Medicago truncatula: one gene and its partners. The protein of the gene in region 3 binds, or shares a complex with, the protein of the main gene of each other region. Links are inferred from orthologs where the notes say so. Each region holds a gene or a part of one and is shown on either strand. Other genes may lie near its edges.

Region 1 (6,072 bases), about 47 Mb from region 3:
AACAAAAGATTTATAACCAGTGAATTTCTCCCAACATTTTAACATACGAACCGGTTTTGGCCCCCAATTTGCATCATCAACACACAACATGAGAGGACAATGATCTGACAAACCTCTCGACGTAGCCATCTGAAAACAATTAGGCCACGACAAACTCCAATTTTCTGACAGCAAGAACCTATCAATCTGACTCATCGACCTCCCATCACCTCGATACCAAGTGAACCTACGACCCCGAAGCGGTAAATCTATAAGGCCGTTATCATCAATCATAGCATTAAAACTTGCACTACCAGCATAGTTCACAGCGTTGCCCACTCTTCTTCGTTCCTCGGGACATCGAACCGCATTAAAGTCTCCACACACACAAACATTCTCGTCCAACAGCGACGTCAAACGAGCTGAAATATTTTGCCAAAGAGATTGTTGTCGGTTAACATCACACGGGGCATACACATTTAGAATAGTAAACTTGTCACCCGTCTTCACAAACTGGCCTTGAATTCCTAACACATGATCAAAATTAAACGAAGACCACACCACAACCTCTTCACAATTCCAAAGAGTTATTAAACCTCCTGAAGCCCCACTCGAAGGTTGATAAGAAAAATCAACACGGTTATCAGTCCATAGGCCTTTACACACAAAATCATTTACAACAGATAATTTAGATTCTTGTAAACATAAGATAAACGGATTTTTCTCCCTCACCAAGTTACTCACTTCCCTTCTCTTTTCAAACCCACCCAAGCCCCTAACATTCCAAGGAATAATCTTCATTAACACTACCCACTCCACAACACCACAAACACCCTTACCTCCTCATCCCAACCCTCGGCCTTACCTCTCTCCACCATCAACCTCTTTATTTTTTCTTCCAACACCTGACAACACATCAAACCTATTTTGAATATCCCCTTGAAAATTCACCCCCACTAACTTTCCCATCCCCCTAACATCATCCGATAAAGCCTTGCTATTACCATGAAGTACTAACCAACTCGACCAGTCGTAATTAACAGATGACTGTGAATCATTAACAGAAGAGCTAACCGGCGAATTTACCTTATTAACATGAGTATCTGACACCACCTTATGTCTCCTTTTCTTCTTGCGCAAGGCACGCAAAACAACCTTACGGTCTTCCTCTGATAACCTCGCAATACGCTTCAAATTCATTGCACAGTGCCGAAAAGAACTATTACCCTTCTTTCTCGTGACTTTAATAGCACTAGAAGTCTGTTTGTTAAAGTCTAAAATTTCAACAGGTGCTGCATCTCCAATCACCAACTCCTTATGTTGACGTGCCCATTCCCAACTCCACGGACCTGCCGATACAGTATGGACCCGACTAGGAGGACATGACATGAAGACGTACGATGCTTCTTCCTCTTAGCACCACTACAAGAAATTCGATCCAAATCAGCTCGTGCGATATCATCCTCCAAAACAACCTTGTTGTTAGCTTGTTGTAAAGGAACTGTTTGAGCTGCGCAAGGATTTTGAGAGGAAACCTCCGTAACACCCTTCGACACCTCTTTAGTACCCACCACCGGACTCTCAACAAGTGAAGGAAAATCGTTAATAGGAATAACCTTATGAACCTGAAGGTCCTGCTGCTCCTTCTGCCATTCCTCTGATAGATGCTTCATCAAATTATCAACCTCACCATCAACATGTAAATCCCCAATATTTCTCTCATCCTCCATATCCTCCTCTTCTTTAACCTCCTCATCCTCCGATAAGCAAGCATCTTCACCCAACGAAAACCCTCCCTCCTCCACAATTTTAAGTTCATAAATAGCTCCATCTATCATCACCTTTGCATCTGAAATAACTAAATCCACAGAAGGCGTAGAAATAAGAACCCGAGCATAATCAAACCGGATTTTTTCCAGAGTGGAATCATCCAATTTCAACAAACGACCATAGTCAAAGACACAAAGTTTGAAAAAATCCAAGTTCCACGCTTGTAACGGCACCCCATAGATCCTCACCCAAGCTCCTCTTTCGCGAACCACCATATCTTTCCTCCAGTTCATAATATTAGAAAAAAAATTTGCAAAAAATTCCGATGCTTCAGCCAACAATAAGTTAACATCACTATCATCTTCAGTTCTCAATAAGACCTTATCAGCTCCCAAAGGAATTATGTCTAAATTCTCAAAGCCCGCATCAAAAATACGTCGCTGCAACACAGGGATCGCATCTCCATTCAAAACCGTAGCAACCATCCCCTACTAGCCCATAAAACATCCTGATCCTTGGAGGTATATTTAGGAATGTGGATCTTCGCAGCCTCTCCCACAACCACCTTCGCACCAACCGGTTCTCTCACATTCACCCTCTTCTCCACCCTTGCCTCAGCTTCTTCTCTACTAACCACCCCTCCTCTCGCAGCTACATCTCCCTCAAGCCCCTTACTCCTCCCTTCACCTTGAGCCTCTCCGTCAACAACCTTCCTTCCCCCCAGCTCTCTTTTTTCTCCCTCTAATTCTTTATCTCCCTCATTAATTTTTTCTCCCTCTCCCCTAACACTGCCTTCACCCCTACCACCTCCATTCCTACCAAAACTCGCCACCTTAGCCACCACCTTCCAATCTCCAAACCAGACATTGTTCAAAGCCTTCAAGAGCTTCTCTACATCCTTCACTTTGCCATAACGAACAAAACCAAACGCACCACCATTAACATTACGTTTACGTGCCAAGTAAACATCCTCCAATATACCACATACCTCAAAACCTTGTCTCAATGAAACATATGATATATCAAGAGGAATATTTGTAAAATAGAAAGAAACAACATTCTGGTTCACCTGCACTTTCTTCGCCTGTTCCTGAATACTCACAGCTAAACGTTGTTTCTCATCACGTGCCTGCACATTAACTGAACCAGGATCGTTCCTCACAGCCTTGTTGTTGTTTCTCATAACATGGATTTTATTCTTGACTCAATGAAGGTGATGAATTATTTACAGAAAGGAAGCAATGTTATTACTGAGTTTGATAAAATCATGTATGAATGTAGACATCATTGTAATTTTGCTTTTAAAAACTCTCTTGTCGAGTTTAGTCGGAGAAAAACCAATCAAATCGCTCATGCCTTGGCACTGTGTATTTGTGAATTAAAATCTAATGAAATACTACAAACATTTCCTTAAAAAAAAAAAACTTGTTGGAAATACGTTCAATTAATTAGTCATTTTCTTTGAGGATTAAAAATCTGTTAATGTAATTATTAATGTTTTTGGTGTTAACATCTCGTTTTAAGGAAAAACGAGTCATTCAAATATAGTTCGACCAGAGGTAAGTAAAATATGATCGAAAATTATTACAACTAAAAATCAAACTCAAATTCTGCTAAATAATTACAATCACAATTAACTAGACTAAGTCAAGCATAATTGCAATTTTGGTGAAATACACATAACAAAAATGCAATAAGTCTACAAATGATTCTTAAACTCTAATAATTTATAATAAAATTCACAATTACCAACAAGTTTAGAGACCTTTGCACAAATTATTTTAAAATATACAAGCTCAATTACACATTATTTAGAAAAGAGTCATGCTAACTCTTCGTGTCTTAAGGATACAAGTTAAAAAGCTAAAAAGAGAATTAAAATATAACTTTTGTATTGAAAAGATAAAATTTAAGATTTTTATACATTGAATGCACAATTTTCAAGAAAATATTTCTATGTTTAGTTTCTAAACTTATGTCTCAAGAGCATAAGTTAACATTTCCTTTTAAAAAATTAAGTACTCAACTAAAACCTTGTTCATAAATCTAACTATAAATTATTTACTAATTTATTAACCTAATTATAATTTTATTTAGTTTAGAAACCAATTTCAAAATTATTGAATAGTTTTTTTTTTTTTGGTGGCCGGGTTTTGAATCCTAGATCTTGCATATATTATGCATTGTTCATACCAACCGAGCTAAGATCACGAAAATAAATTATTGAATAGTTAATAGACTTCTAAAGTATTTAAAAAATAAATCCATACCAACTAAGCTTAGGTCACGAAGACAAGTTATTGAATACTACCTCCGTCCCTAATTATAGGACCCTTTTAAAAAAATAACGGGAATTAAGAGAGTGAATATTTTTATTAAATATGTTTGTAATTACTATTATTTTTACAATTTTATCTTTTAAGAGAGTGTTGATTTATGTTTTCAACATGTTATTTATTGTTGATTGAAAAAAAATGTATAATAAATAAGGGCATGTATGTAAAGAAATAATTAATGTAGTTGGAAATAGAAAATGAGTCTTATAAAAAGGGACAATTTTTTTTTCTTTCAAAACGGTCTTATAATTAGGGACGGAGGTAGTAATTAATATTATTGAGTAGTTAATACAAGTATTTAAAAAATAAGTAAAGTTGAAAAAATAAAATAAATTTGAAACCCATTGCAAAGTACCATATTGCCCCCATTGTGATTGATGAAAAACCAAAGAAACAAAGGGATAAGATAAGCCAATATGAATCAAACCAACCCTTTTATCCCATTTTCAGTTTTCTTCATCTTCCATTTCCATCATCACCATGGAAGCTACTGCAACTCTACTCAGCTTCTCTCTTCCATCCACCAAAACCCAATCTTTTCAAATCCTAACCCGACCCATTAACCCATTCAACCCACCCACATCATACAAACATAGACCCATTTCCAAAACCCACCGTTTATCCATCAACGCCGCAATTTCACGCACAAAGAAAGAAGAAACAGTTGAAACCGTAAAAGAACAACTTGAAAACTGTTACCTCCTCGCCGGAATCAACTACAAAGGCTTCACCGTAAAACAATTTCAAGAACTTCGAAAAACTCTTCCTGAAACAACGAAACTCGTTGTTGCGAAGAACACGTTGGTTTATAAAGCACTTGAAGGAACACAATGGGAGACGTTGAAGCCATGTATGACAGGTATGAATGTGTGGTTGTTTGTTCATACTGAAGAGATTCCCTCTGCTATTAAGCCTTATAGAGATTTTCAGAAAGAGAAGAAGCTTGAAGAAAATGATTTTACTGGTGCTGTTTTTGAAGGGAAATTTTATGGTCCTGATGAGTTTAAGAAACTTGAAACATTGCCGACACGTGGCGAGATTTATGCTAATTTGTTGGGTTCATTGAAAAGTCCTTCTTCTGCTTTGGTTACTACCATTCAAGCTCCTGCTAGAGAACTTATTATGGTTCTTAAGGCACATATTAAGAAGCTTGAAGAACAGGAACAGGGTAGTGCTGTTCTATAGATAAGTTTTTTCAATCTTGTTTGTGTATTTGTTTTATGATTTTATAATTATGTTACAATGTGGATTTTGTTTTATTGTATTTGAGCATGTTTATTTATGTTTATGTTCCCTCAGATTATGTGTACAATACAAGTGTACATTTGATGCTTTGAGCTTGTTGTATCAGAAAATGTAGAATGATGCAATTATTTTTTCTCTTAGGATACTGATGATGGATAATTTGTTCCAATTGAATGATGCAATTTCACTAATTATTGGTTATTGTATTTGAGTATGTTTGTTTATGTTCCTTCAGATTATGTGTACAACTGTGCATTTGATGCTTTGAGCTTGTTGTATCAGAAATTGTCGAATGGTTCAATATTTTTTTCTGTTAGTGTAGAGATGATTGATGGATAATTTTGTTCCCATTGAATGATGCAATTTCACTAATTATTGGTTATTATGTGCATGTACCATTTTGATGTTGTGTTTTTTCCCTTTGTTTATTTGAGTGTTATATTTTGGAGACTTCGTTCAACTTGAAGTGTTTGTCATTTATACCGAGTCTCAGAATTTGGGTTGGGATTAACTTAAGCCTTACAAAACCAACTTTTCGGTCATATTTTATCCAACGTAGAACTCTTAACATGTATTACCTTATGTAACAATACCACACATTCACTCAATTGGATTAATATTTAGTGCGGTAAGTTGGATTGGAAAATCAACTGAAACTGTGAGTTTCATGGCTTAATCTTCATTCAATTGAACTTCTTGACTTACTGCAATGACTATGTCATTTTAGCATTACAGAATCCAT
Region 2 (7,462 bases), on a different chromosome or scaffold from region 3:
TCCCATTCTGATTGAGAATCACCGTCTCTATCTGAACGTCCAGAAGAGCGAGAATCCCATTTTCCATGGGTTCCCCGCGAAAAGTTATTCATATCCCCTCTGGTTGGAGGGGATGAACTGTATTCATTACGTCTGAAACTATGTGTTGACAGAGCACCGGTACTTCTCTGTCTATCCAGTGAAGCGTCTTCAAATTCACTGTTTTCCATACAAAAAAAGGCATAACACATAAGTGAAAGAGCATAAATTGACTATATATATATATATATATATATATATATATATATATATATATATATATATATATATAATAAGGAAAAATTAAATGCAGCGGTCCACCGATATAGCATACTATACCTTAAAAGTGACCGATCAAACCCACTTGGAAACTCTTTGCAAATATCCAATCCACTAAACGATAGCAAAAACTCTCTTGTGTATGAAATTTTCAACTTCCTGAACAACCACCAACAAATAGGTGTTATAACATGCATCAAATTTCAAATTAAAACATTGTAAAAAATAAATACAACAAGCTAATCAAACAAGATAGAAGGTTACTTTTGCAATCCACTATCAGTTGCTTGATCCAACAAGCTCTGATCTTCGTTTTCAAAATCCATTGCGTTCCCTCCACACAATACTTGATGCTAAACAAAGTTGTTAACCAATGTCAAATATATCAAATCGATGAACAATGCCGAGTGTTACTGCAATCCTTAAAGAGCCCTAGTCAGCATCAAACATATAATTCATAACATATGCTCAAATTTTGAAATTTTGACCAACTTCAACTCTAAGTCCAACAATCACTGCTTATTCATAATTCAATTCTAAAAGCACTTGTATGAAAATTTCAAAACCTAGAACCAATCCCAGTCACTGATCCAGCTCAATCAACAAGACCCATCATCCAAAACCCTCTAAAGCTTCAACCTTTACGAAAATCTAGCAATAACCACCACCAAAAAAATTGAAAAAACTACTCTCTCCTTCAATGAAATTCCCGAATGAAACGTAAAGATTGGTATATACACAAAACCGTCCTAGAACACAGATTCAAAGGAAATAGAGATTCAATTCAAAAACTTGTGGAATACCCATGAAATTTAGGTCCGAGAAAAATCTAAGGGATGACAAATATTGAGGGTTTGTGCGATAAAAATACAAAATTGAAAAAGGAAAGAAAACTAGGGTTTTGAAATTGTAAAGATTAACGATGCGGATCGAAGGTTAAAGAGAGAATCAATGAAGGGAAAAGCGTGAAATCGAGAATTTGGGGGTGATTTTGCAGAGATGGATCGGGATTGAGGACGAGGGAGTGAGCGAGAAGGGATTTGAAGAGAGAGAAAGTAGAGAGAGATTGTTGCTATTATGGACTTATTATTATCTAGAGCAAGTAGCAATGTAACCTATGGTTTTAAATAATTTGTAAGTTAGATTAGATTAAAAATTCGTATTTATCTAAATCTTAATTCTTAATTTTGATCTAACAGTAAGAAGATAACAATTACTACATTTTAAGTTTCTTTTTAAAAAATAAATTTTAAGTTTTTCTTATTAGGTTTTGAGTTCAAACGCAATTGATATCTTTATATATAAAATTCTTTTGAATATAAGATCGTCTTTATTTTGAATTGAAACATCTTCTATTTACATACACGTTATAATGTTCGATTATATTTTATTTCGTGTATGTATCTTTAATGATTTAATTATCATCATTTAATTCGGATAATACTTTCAACTCTTTTGATTTTTCTTATTAATATAGTGGTCATATTTGTGTAGGCGTTAGATTAATAAATTTATTTAAATATTTTTTTTAGGAGAAAAACTATTTGATATTCTCTTTATATTGGATATATAAAAATTAATCGTTATTCTCTTTTTTACTCAGAATTAATCACTTAAAGCATCTCCAATTGAGGTATTTACGTGTTTCATAGAATGATGAACATTTTTTTATTTTTTTCTCTTTCTTCATCGGAGGAATCGTGATGTAGTAGTGTGGATACCAAAGTAATGGTTGAAATAACTTAAATAAATTACTGTATCATCAAATTCAAAGTTGAGGAAAAAAAAATAAAAGAATTGAGTTTTATAAAAGTTGCTAAATTGAGGAAAATATGCTTGAGTGCATAAGCATGGTGTGACATTGCGAAAGTCACTTTTTTATAACAAAATGATATGTATTCATTCAAATTAACAAAGTACGTCAAATGCAACTACATATTTCACATCGTTAAAAACGTAAATGATAAATCTATGAACAAACTCACAACATTCAAGTTGATTACGTACAATGAAAAAATACCTACAAATAATATGATAAAATATGAAATACTCATGTCTCTATATCACTAATGTTGACATCCAAATCATATTGAATTTGTAACTGATTGATGTCGATCTTTCACTAAGAATCAATCGAACACCACAAAGACAAAAAATCAAGCAATACCGCACAAGACGACAAACAACACAACGCCGCATTGAGACAACGAAATCACGAGAAAAACACAAAAAGAAAAAATGAAATCTATGTAAAAACCACTTATTTAGATTAAGATAAGGAAGAAAAAAAGATTCATAAGGGTGATTTTTAGGCCAAAAAATAACCCAAAACCACCTCCCTCTCTTGAGTGATGGAGAAATAAAACTTACAAAGAAGTCGGAGTTTGTCTCTTAAAAAATTAGAACCGACTAGTTAAAGTTTGCTTATTTCTTCAAATTCCTTACCATTATTTTAAAAGTCATTATAAGTACTCACTATTTAGAACTATATAAAACTATTCTCTCTAAAAATAAAATAAAAACTACATGACAATTCAGATATATAATAGGACAACTAATTATATGTGAAATGAAAGATGATTATAACTCATTTTATTCATTCATGTTTTTTTTAAGGAATTATTCATATATGTTTGTCGATCATTGATAATTTTGTTACTATATTGGAATACACAATTTGGAGAGAGATAGACACATAAAATAGATAGTGGGTTCTACCACTAAGTCACTTAGTCACGATTCAGTAATTTCCTCAACTTTGAATTTTCAACCCTAAACTCATAATTTGTATTGTGTATCGGTGCCTTTGTTTTTTGCATACAACTCCATTCATTTAGTGTGCCCTTTGCACTAGTGTTTATATATAAAGAGAGAGTTATCCATGGATTCCTAAAGCTAAACATTACGACCTTTCCACAAGCTCCAAAGGGTAATTACAACATGAGCTTTCTGATGTGGAGACAACCTCTCAATTAAATCAAATAACATAAATGCAAAGTTGTTGAAATTAAGGAGTAAATCTTGGATGATGTGGTGGACATCGATAAACTCCTAACAACTGATCGCTTTTAGACAAACAAAGAAAATGTGCATTTGACTTTCTGTCAATTGATCGCATGATACACATGAGTCTTCACAAGGAATTCCACGGAAAATGAGGTTTGCTCGAGTGGGCAAGCAATGTTGTGTTGAACACCATAGAAAGGCACAGACACGCGGTGGAATTTACACTTTCCATATAGAGTTCCAACAATTTTCACCTGTAGTAGTAAAGGTAGCGGTGATAAGTTCGAAAAATATGCGATAAGCGGGTTTAACGTGTGTATGAACCATCAGTAGTAGCCTTCCATATGAGCTTGACAACATATTCACAAGTGAAGGAAGACATGGAAAGGATTGATGCAACATCTGAAGGGTTGAACATTGACTGTACCAAAGGAATGTCCGAAGAATTTCACCCGGATTCAACAAATAATTAACGGTAACATCCTCATGGTGCACTAATTGCAAGCTAATCGATTTGCGAGTAGGAAGGTTGTGAATCCAAGGCATACTCCACACATTAATTTGAGAATCATCACTAATCGTCCATCTATGGCCCAAGGTAAGTAAAGGTTTTGTACTCCATATATTGCTCCTTGTATAACTTGGATTATGACCTAGGTTGGCATCCAAAAAATCCCTTCTCGAAAAATATTTAGCTTCCAAGATCCTTGATGGTAAAGAGGTTGACTCGGATAAGAGTTTTTAACTTTGCTTACCAAAAATAGAAAAGTTAAAAGCTTATACGTTCTGGAAGCCTAGACCTCCTAAACTTTTGTGAAGAGTGAGCTTATCCCATCACAACCAATTAATGTCACACCACCCATTCTTTCTAAATCCCTAATGAAAGGAGTTCATCATCCTTTCTATCTCATCACAAAGAGATGTACTATCTTAAAATATTACCTCTGTCCTGAAATAAGTTACTTTATTGAAAATATATGCTATCATTTATCTATAAAAATACATTTTTTATAGTTTTGATTTCTAAGGTTTTTGTTGGTTCCAAATTCCAAGCAATTTTTTTTTCTTTCTTCCTTTTGAGCATTTACAGTTTTATTTTCAACCCCTTATCCATTCTTGTCCCACTCACTTTGCCAAAAAATTTACCCTCAAACACAAGGGCACTTTGTAACACAGTACTTTAACCAACCAACGCTATCCATATCCCTCTCGTAGCGAGCATTGCTCAATCCACAACAATGGCTACAACCCCTTCTCTTCTACACTCTTCTGCCTCTTCCTTTCTCTCTCAATTTCGAGCTTTACCAACTCAATTTTCTTCCTCTTCGTTGTTATGTCATGGAAACAACAGAGTGGTGTCTGTGAAAGCTGATGCTTCTGGTGCTGTTTTGGTTGAGAAATCTGAAGCAGAGACTGTTTATAGACTCAAAACAACTTACAATGACAAAATTGTTCCTTTGCTTATGGAAGAATTCTCTTACACTAATATTCATCAGGTTGGTTTTTCTGAAATTTGGACCTTTTTTTTTTTTTTTTGTAATGGGTATTTGTTTAAATTGTTTGATTTTGTGTTTTTGTTGGGTTTGTGGGTTAAAGTTTGAGTCTTTTTTGGTTTTGGTGTGATGGTTTTTTTTAGATATTTGGATTTAGAATGAAATTATAACTGCATGTATCAATTTAGTCCCTCACATTATTATGGATATTCCAAAATGATATTTGAAAATGCAAATTTTAATCAAATGTGTCCCTCCGTTGATTGGCATTAAGTGTATGTTTGGTTCTGTGTTGACAAGACTTGGTTTTGAGTGATTGATTTTGACTAAAATGGGTTGAAGGTAAAGTGATTTGTGTTTGGATAGATTCGTGTAAGTGAGTTGAACTATATAAGTCTGTGTGTAATCAATTCTAGAATTAAAAGCCACGAATCCTCTCTTTAAGTAGAATCAATTTGGCAGGCGAAAGCAAAACATGTCAGAATTGATTCTACACCTCTAGAATCAATTTTAACTGTATCAATTAAGTCCCTCATATTATAGATATTCCAAAATGAATTTTTGAAAATGCAAAGTTTAATCAATTTTTTCTCTCCGTTGGTATTTGTAGGGACTAGAATGACATTAAGTTGATAAATCGGGGATGAATTTGAAATTAAGTGAATAAGGTCAGAGATACGTTTGATAACATGTCTATAGAGAGGGATGGATTTGTTCAACATATTGCAATTCTAAAGATCATTTAAGAATATTAATAATATGAAGACTAAATTGATAGAACATTAGTAGAACCCTTTAATTTCGAGTACCAACTTGAGTATTTACTCTAAGATTATTTTATCTATCAAATTTTGCAATGCTGAATATTGTTTTTCCCTCTTTTCAGGTGCCTAAAGTTAAGAAGATTGTGGTAAACTGTGGTATTGGAGAAGCTGCACAAAATGCAAAAGGTTTGGATGCAGCAATACTTGATCTAGCACTGATCACTGGGCAGAGACCTGTTAAGACTCGGGCGAGGAATTCCGTTGCCACCTTCAAGATCAGGGAAGGTCAACCACTTGGGATTGCTGTGACACTCAGAGGAAAAGTGAGTACTTCGTATTCAATTGATATTGCCTTGCCTAGTGAATATATTTTGTAAACATGAGATCATTATTTAGTTTAATTGCTTGACATTTTCCCATTTTTGATGCTATTTTGTATTTAGAACAATGTCGGTATCATGAATAATGATATTGTTAGATTCTAGTTAATTTGCTGGTATAGTTAGATGCATTGGTGTAATGAACTCTGATAAGCGCTGAGGTGCTTCAAGGACACCACTCCGAGACATGTGGCTACTGTTTGTTAACTTGTCTAGTATAATGCATCTTTGGATCACATGTAAAGTTTTTGGAGTTGGGAATATTCTTTGTTGACATAATATATGCATTCCAGTAATCAAATATTATTTTTGTAATAGAATATGTTTACATACGAAGCATTATTTTCCACATACCAAAACAAAGCGTGTAAAATTATTCTCTTTTATCATGAGAACGGTACTTCAGAAGTCAAAAGTTTAGTTAGTTTGGATTTTTTTCTTCTGTGTATGTGTTTTTCAACAATTTGTGTTTAAAAAGAGTGCATACCAGGAATTTACTGAATGAGACATTGATAGAGTTTCCATGTTGCCAAAAAAAAAAAGATTATACATGGCAATGTATGTGAATCTGGTTTCATTTTGAACTTCTTCAAATTATAGTATTTTGCATTACTTTAGGCTCATATTCTAACACAAGATTTTAAATATCTGTTAGCGGCTGTGGTTTCTTTGTGATCTTTGAGACTGTAGAAAATTGAGGTCAAACATGGTTGTGGAGACATCACATGAAAAACCTTGATCTTGCGTCCACACCCGCGGTCACGGCCTGTATTTTAAAACCATACAAATATATTATACATGCTTTGCAACTTTCTTTGTTTTTATATAGCTGAACCCAAAATCTAATACCTATTGGTTGATATTTTGACAGATAATGTACTCATTCCTAGACCGTGTTATCAACTTAGGACTTCCTAGGACAAGAGATTTTCAAGGTGTGAATATCAGCAGCTTTGACGGGAATGGAAATTACAACATTGGTATTAAGGACCAAACTGTGTTCCCAGAGCTGAAATCTGGTATTGGTACACCTAGAGGAATGGATATCTGCATCTCAACAACTGCTAAAACTGATCAAGAAGGACAAAAATTATTGGCTCTCATGGGTATGCCCTTCAGAGAGGGAGTTGAAGTTACCCAAATAGTTCGCAAAAAGAAGTTGAAATCTCATCATTTTGATCCAAAATCAAAGGGTAGAGGAGACAGAGCAAAGAAGTAAACTCATTTTTATTCATGCAAGATCAGAGATAATAATGAACTAAGGTTGTAATCAGAAGATAGATTGTGTTGTACCCCTTGTTTCGTTCAGATGTAATGTAATATTATTGATTCTTTTTGTAAAAGATGTGGATGTTTTCATGTTGCCATCAATCACGTTATTATATGGTTGTATGATGATCATGCAGATCTTGCTTGCTTTCTGATTTCTATTGTTTTCTAAATTATTTGGCTAGTTGGACTATTAATATTTTAGGTTCATTTCTCTTCATTTTTCTTCAATTTTCATACTCGGCTACTTGTA
Region 3 (7,852 bases):
CATCATAATATAACAACACATATTTATCATCTCATAATAACTTAAACAACAACGATTAATAAATATTAATACTTCACTTAGTTCTTTATTAACAACTCATTGACAAATGACAACTTAACGACAACGCAACTTCAACTTCTTAATCATGCATGTGGTACCAACCAGGGCATCAAACCCCCAACATATTGAGCGTAAATAGGCTCACAGAGCATCAAGCCCTCACCCAACGTAAATGAGTATGCAATGGACTCAACATCTTAACAACTTAACAACTTAGACATCTCTTATTACTCCAATAATTTGGATCAACATCTTACAACTTAAACAACTTAAATCAACATTAGCATCTTAATGATATTAATATATCACATCAGCAAGGCAACACCATCAAATAATTTACAGCAAGTCAATATCAACAATAATCATCTAATATAACCATTACAACTTCATATCAACATCTTTCACAATATATAAATATTCTCACATTAATCATCAAAGTAAATCATATTCATCACAACAGCAAGACAGCATCATTTAAACATATACAACAAGTAACCATCATTAATAATCTTCATATGTAACATTTGCAACTCCATATCAACAACTTAGACAACATTAACAACTTAATACTCCAATACTTTGGAAACACTTTGGAAAGAAAACTTACAACTTTACAACTTAGACCAACACCTGCATCTTGATCAATATGCAACATCAACAGAAACAGTACAAGCAATTCACAACATGACAATATTAATGAAAAACATCAACAACTTAAACATCATATATTCTCCACATAAGACATATGAACATTTCACATAACCAACAACAGCAACATAGACAACACTTAAACACCTCAAGATATAACAACATCAAATAATAATCAACATCTTAAAACATCATATATGCATATAACACTTCATCAATCATGGACAATATCGTATTCACAACATATACATACATATACTAATTCATCAATCATAAACAACATCATACTCATAAACATATACATTCATATAACACTTCATCAATCATGAACAATATCGTATTCACAAACATATACATACATATACTAATTCATCAATCATATTCAATTATTCACTGTGACCTACGTGCAGTAATTTGACCATAACTCAAGTTCTATAAATCCTTTTCAAGTCAAACCAATGGCATTAGAAAGCTAACATCCATACCTACAACTTTCATGTGTACACCTAAGACCAATTCTGTACCAATCAATACCAGTTTTCATTTCAAATTCGGAAAAAGTTGTGCTGAAATTCATAAAAATTCACTGTGACCTACATGCAGTAATATGACCATAACTCAAGTTCTATAAATTGTTTTGACGTCAGACCAACGGAATTACAAAGCTAACATCCATACCTACAACTTTCGTGTTTACACCTAAGACCAATTCTGGACCTATCAATACCAGATTTCATTTCAAATTCGGGGCAGAGATGAAAAGAAAAATCAGAAAAAGCAACCTATATTATTCAACTTCACTTTCATTCAAAATCATCACAATCATCACTCTTAACCCTAATTCTCAAATACAATTTTCAGAATCATAGACTCAAGATTATTGAATGTTAGTCCCACCCTTACCTTAAGAATTCGATTGCAAGGTTATCTTCTCGTTCCTCCTCTTCTCTAGGTTTTCTCCCTTTTTCTCCAAAAACTGGTTGTACGTGAAAAAACTATTCTGACTTCTCACTTTTCTCTTTTTATAACCTTAACCTACCTATTTTCTCTTAACTCCACTTATTCTCTTAAACTCTTCTAAATTCCCAAATCAGCTCCCAAAGTCTCAATATTCTATTTTAATATATATATATATATATATATATATATATATATATATAAAATACTTCTACACCAAATAACAAATATATTTCTATAACAATTATATTTCTACACTAGATAATATAATATAATATAATATATTTCTACACCAAATAACATATATATTATACTAACAAATAACATAATATCTCTACACCAAATAATATATATTATAATATAATATGCTACTAAAACACCAACCTATAACACAAAAATAACACACATTATCATAAATCAAATAAATTATTCAAAAAGACTCTAAACTCAATAAAATAATCAAATAAAACAAATAATTCAAAGAGGGCGTTACAACGTGCACGAAAGAAGGTAAAAACGCCTTGAGATAGTGGATAATTAATGGCCTTGGGAGACATAAAATCTTGGAAATCTTGTGAAGAAAGGAACAACGATGGTAAAAATAGGGAGTTTCGAAGGGTAGAACATGAAGAGTTCGATCAACGACAAGTGGCGCCTTAGGGAAATAAATAGACTTATAGGTTGTCCAAGTGAAAAGACGTGGCCCACTTAAATCCTAAAACGATCAAAGGAAAAGAAACTGAAAATCATGTTTGGAGGGTAATTAATGAGTGGGATGATGTCATCTTTTCAAGGTAACTTGTGTAATTAAAAAATGTCAATATTCTCCTACTTGATGAGGTTCGTCGAAAATGGCATTTTTCGGGGGCATCCTGTTAGCCTGTAATTTCGACAGGGTCATTTAATGTGGTCAACATTTAGTTGACTTTTAACTTTGCAGGAATCGAAGGCTTTTTCATTTTAATTTGAGGATTTCGACAAAATAGCAAGCCTAACGCGCATGGTCAAGAGTTCGTCTGAGGAATGCTAAAAGCGTAATTGCATCGAAGTCAAGCAATCAAGGCGGGAAAGATACAATTTCAAGCTCAAAGGCGGTTTCCTTAGTGGAAACTTGGGGACAAGAGGTTGTCCAAGATGGAGGAAGTGTTGATCATGAGATCAGTCTTTTGCCAGTTATTTTCTTTATGTATAAATAAGAGTTTCCTAGTCGGAAAATGGGTCGCAAATCATTTATAGAAATTCTACAACATTAAAACTACCGACGCATAGGAAAACGAGTTATACATAATGTATGTAAACTTATTCGTAGACAATTTTACTTTTAATGCAATGCATTTTACATTTTCTTTTAAGTTTATGTGTTTAAACTTTTACCCTTTCCTTTAATTTTATCTTGCTTTCACTTGCAATCTCAAAACTGTCGAAAGACAGTGCCCTTTTTACTCTAAAATCCGTCTTGCTCTCTAAGTAACCTGAGTGCATTTTGTGGCCTTTTCAAACCGTTTTCGATCAAAACCTTTGAACATCATGTCCTGAGATTTCTTGTAATAATCAGAATTAACCTGTAGTTTGCCGAAAACACCGGTAAACAGATAGATAGAAGCAAAAGTTGGATGATTTGCATTCAGCCACCATAAAGATTAGAGTTTAATTTTCTCTAGAAGATGAAGAAAACCTATTTTGTTTAAACACTCTTGAATTTCTTTTTTGCTAAATGATCCAAATACAGAAAAGTCAAATCAAATTAAGGAACAAAAAAAATATTTTTTTAGTAGTCACAAATTCATACAAATTGAAGTAAATGATCCGAGATATAAACGGATGAATCGTAATTAAACATATTCAATTATAAATATCAAACCAAATTTTTCTGCAAAACTCAAAAATAAAAAAAATAATAAAGTTGAATCTCGTGAGCATTGCTCAGTTGGTAGAACAATGCATTATTATATGCATGGATCGGGATTCGAACCTCGGACACACTATTTACTCACCTTATAAGGTGAATTCTAACTACTAGACTACCAGACAAAAAAATTGATGTCCTCCTCCATGTCACATCCGCCTGCACAAAAATAGTATTTAGCCAAAACACCATTCACTTATACAATGGTAGTCTATTTTGTAGTTATAGTTTATCCTCATTATTTTTCCCTCAAAAAATTTATCCTCATTATTTTGTAGTCATACTAAAATAATCAACATCAATAATCCACCCAATATTATAAATAAATTAAATAAGAACCACACAAGCATAATTTGCATTGTCAATTTTATAAGAAAATATGAACCACCCGCACAATTTTGTTTAGGACAAGGACAACCATCTGTGTAAACTAATTTACACTAATGTTTAACAAAAATAAATATCAAATATTAAATAACATTAGTTTGTTCCAACTATGAATCTCTTTTAAACTTAATTTATTTTTCATAAAAAATCAATTTATGTATAAAATGTGAATGTTCATTTTAGTCCTTGAGAAAATTCAAAAGATCCAATTTAGTTTCTTAGAAAAATAAAAGTAACTTTAGTCATTGATAAAAACTAAATCGGGACAAAGTTAATATTTAACCTCTTTACACTTTGTTTTGGTTGATAAGAAAATGATAGAAGAAAGAAAATAAATCCAAGAAGATATTGTTAATAATTTGGTATGAAAGAAAGATAGAAAAAACCAAATTATAAATACAAATTATTTTTCACATGACTAAATTAAGTCTCGTGAATTTTTGAAAAACTAAAATGGGCTTTCAATAAAAAAAGTTAAAAATAAATTAGAATATACACACTCTCTTACTAGAACAATGAGCATCATTTACACGCCCTAAATTTCTAATAGCATAATTTTTCTTGAAGGATAATAGCATTTATTTTTATTTTTTCACCACTACATCAAAACTTTGGAATTAAACCTCGATTTTTTTTGTCTAGTTGTGTAGTGGTTGAAGTTCACATATTATAAATGTGAAGGAGTGCGGTGTATGAGATTCAAAGTCCAGCTTCTGCATATATTATATATTTGTCCCTATGAACTGAGTTAAGTTGACGAGACGAATTAAAACTTAATTTATTAGTGCAATAATACAATAAAAAATTGTTTTTTTTTTTTGTAATAATAAAAAATGAAAAATAAGTATTAGTATATGCCAAAAAGAAAGAAGAAGAGAAGAAATCACGCGGCATTTGTAAGACGATAGGGCACATCACATTCTTATCTCCTCAAAATTCATTTCATTTTCATATCACCATCGCAAAACGAATAGATAACCACCTAAATGTCCTGCTTTCACCACCACACTCTCTTCCCAAACATGGCTTCATGTACAACAACAACTTCATCATCATCTCTTATGCTAACACACCCCTCTTCTTCTATTCTCACCCCCCAAGATCTTTCTCCTTCTTCTCTCCGTTCTTTTCCCAGAACCTTCTTTCTCTCTCCCCTCGTTTTGAAGCCTTCTAAGTCGGTTAATCTAACCTACCAGTCCAGGTCTTCGATTTTACTTTCTTCCGCTGTCGCCGCTGATGTTGCTGAAACTGTTGATGAAGATGAGAAAGATGACGTTGATGATGTTGCTGAAACTGTGACTGTTGTTACTACTAAGCCTAAGAAAGGGAAAGCTGCATTACTTCTCAAGAGTGATAGGGTAATCTTCTTCAAATTCTATTGTTTTCTTGATGGGTTTTTGTTGAATTTTATTAACTACAATTGGGGTTCTGGTTTTGTGGATTATTAGTGTATTATTAGTATTTATTTATTAAGGGAATTAATTGTGTTGGTGGCTATGACCATAAGAAGCGTAGCCACGAACATCTGACACGATATTGACACGTCGACATAGAATTTAACTAATGTAAGTTCAGTGTTAGACAGTGGCACGTGTCGGATACTCCCTCCGGTCCTTATTATAAGAAACTTTTGATTTTTTAGATTCATTGAGTAATTAATGTATCTTGTTGTAAATATAGACTAGATACATCACTTACATAATGAACCTAAAAAGTCAATCCTTTCTTATAATAAGGACCGGAGGGAGTATCAGTCACGCCGTCAATCAGAAGTATGGGTGCTATAGAGATTGTACTACAATTACGAACAAAAAATTGGTATTTGAATACCAATTTGTTTTACTTTGGTGAATTGGTTTTCACCAATTTTCTAGATAATTTGTTAAAAGCGTAGAACTGAGTTATCTTATATGGTTTAAAGAGATCCGGATTCAGTGACTTATCTATTAACTTTCTCTCATAACACACAATTACACCGAAGTCACCTTGAATTACCGGCCTTAAAGTCACTGAATCCGGATCCAGTTTAAAGTAAGACAAAAGACAGTGAGTGTTTATGACAGTAGAAGAGTCAAAGGAAGATGTGTTGAATCTCTTTTCTCATTGCGATCGGCAGTGGAATGATTGGAAATTCTTTTAGAACCAGTGAATTTAGGAAGATGAAGGGGTTCATCGTTCACGTGGGAGACTTGGAAAAATTGTTCTGAAGGATAGTTGAAGAAATTGTATGCTTGTTGTTGTGATATTATTTGAAAGACTATAAAGATATGCAGTCACCATATTTTACGGCAGGCAATTTATAACTATTAATTTGATAAAAGAAGTAAACAAAAGTAGTAGCAGCATTTTATACTGAACCCAAATGTACCGATTATACCCCCCAATGTAACCAATACATGGTAGGCAGCAACCGTATACCCGTACCACGTACCAAAGAGAATTAAAAATCACGTGACTATGGTTTTCACACATATTATCTAGGATGTGTTCAGCCAAGAGGTGAGGGAACTCTATCCACAAATTGTTATATCACTGGTGAGGGTATCAATTGAGTCAGTAGCTTTAGATGGAGGACATTTACCACTTATACCTAACCTTGTAGCTGTGTTGTGGGTATTGGACTATTAGTTGATGCTAATTATGGGTGCTATATTTTGGCAATTGTCTATATCATTTTTCACGTAAACATGAAATAACCGTAGTTGTACCTAAGAATTTTCACGTAAACAGGAAATAACTGTAGTTTTACCTGGGAAGTTAATCATGTATCGCCATCTTGTAACATTACAAACAAGCTTTAAGAAATAATAGAATGATATAAGATAGTGAGAAATTGTTGGACAATCCTCTTCAGTAGCTAATGACTACAAATGGATGAATACATAACTGTATATCTTAATTTCATGTTTTGTGCTCATTGCTCATTTGGTTAGCACAAGCTGCTCCATCTGTTGAATAACTGTAATAGAATGATATTTTAAAATAAACTTGCTTAGTGACTAACATCTTATGTAGGTGAGAACTCCTAAAAAGTGGTGATGAAGAAAAATAAAAACTCACTGTTCACGTATTTATGTTATAGGAGCTTCAGAGGATATAAATAATTTCATAAAATATACACGGTTACATACTCATTTACTTTTAGTTGAGCCATATTTATAGCCAGACTTTCTTTTTGGTGGAAATAAATTGTTCTATATAACTTCATTTAGCTTCCAATATCTTCTGAAATTTAGCATGAGTGAAGGTGAGAGATGCATATAAACAGTAGTTACTGTGCTATTTGTCCTACCATTATATGCAGTATTTTTGCTTGGTTGGTCTTTATGTTCCAGCATATTTGATTGCCTACTTGGATAGCGATGGTGTAAATGTTATAAGATAGCCATTTGTTTCTTTCTAAGATCAAGTTGATTGTTTGGATCATTGAATTTTTCATGTTTGGAAAATGTTTCCCATTTATTTTATGAATAATTGTTGTTTTCACTTTCCATGTTTCACCAGGTGAGATCTAAGAGATTCTTGGAAATTCAAAAATTGAGGGAGTTTAAGAAAGAATATGACTTGAAGACAGCAATTTCTTTGGTAAAAGAAACAGCTAAAACCAAGTTTGTAGAAACAGTAGAAGCCCATTTCCGCCTCAACATTGACCCTAAATATAATGATCAACAGTTAAGAGCTACAGTGAGTCTCCTGCCATTCGTTTGATTCTAGTATATACATGCACATTGAAAACTATACAATACATCTGCTAATTCCGAGTCTTTCATCCATCTTCTCTTAATAGGTAAGTCTGCCGAAGGGAACTGGAAAACCCATAAAAATAGCCGTTCTTACTCAAGGTGATTATGCTTTCGATTCGCATTTACACTTCTAGTTAATTAAAAGTGTTCT

The links. The genes of interacting proteins can lie anywhere in the genome.
Region 1: 50S ribosomal protein L1, chloroplastic (region 3) and 50S ribosomal protein L10, chloroplastic share a complex: the UniProt entries of both Arabidopsis thaliana proteins name them as parts of the 50S ribosomal subunit. The link is inferred for Medicago truncatula from reciprocal best matches to the Arabidopsis thaliana genes EMB3126 and EMB3136.
Region 2: 50S ribosomal protein L1, chloroplastic (region 3) and 50S ribosomal protein L5, chloroplastic share a complex: the UniProt entries of both Arabidopsis thaliana proteins name them as parts of the 50S ribosomal subunit. The link is inferred for Medicago truncatula from reciprocal best matches to the Arabidopsis thaliana genes EMB3126 and AT4G01310.

What each region holds. Positions count from the first base shown.
Region 1 is NC_053045.1:63,050,828-63,056,899, forward strand, and holds 50S ribosomal protein L10, chloroplastic, read left to right. Parts: upstream 1-4,496; 5' UTR 4,497-4,565; coding exon 4,566-5,270; 3' UTR 5,271-5,541; downstream 5,542-6,072. UniProt on the Arabidopsis thaliana protein: This protein binds directly to 23S ribosomal RNA.
Region 2 is NC_053048.1:36,603,901-36,611,362, reverse strand, and holds 50S ribosomal protein L5, chloroplastic, read left to right. Parts: upstream 1-4,431; 5' UTR 4,432-4,541; coding exon 4,542-4,799; intron 4,800-5,682; coding exon 5,683-5,883; intron 5,884-6,811; coding exon 6,812-7,159; 3' UTR 7,160-7,393; downstream 7,394-7,462. Other genes in the region: uncharacterized protein, read right to left, coding at 1-198, 358-456, 562-623. UniProt on the Arabidopsis thaliana protein: Binds 5S rRNA, forms part of the central protuberance of the 50S subunit.
Region 3 is NC_053045.1:15,688,072-15,695,923, forward strand, and holds the start of 50S ribosomal protein L1, chloroplastic, read left to right. Parts: upstream 1-4,845; 5' UTR 4,846-4,944; coding exon 4,945-5,316; intron 5,317-7,462; coding exon 7,463-7,642; intron 7,643-7,745; coding exon 7,746-7,800; intron 7,801-7,852. UniProt on the Arabidopsis thaliana protein: This protein binds directly to 23S ribosomal RNA.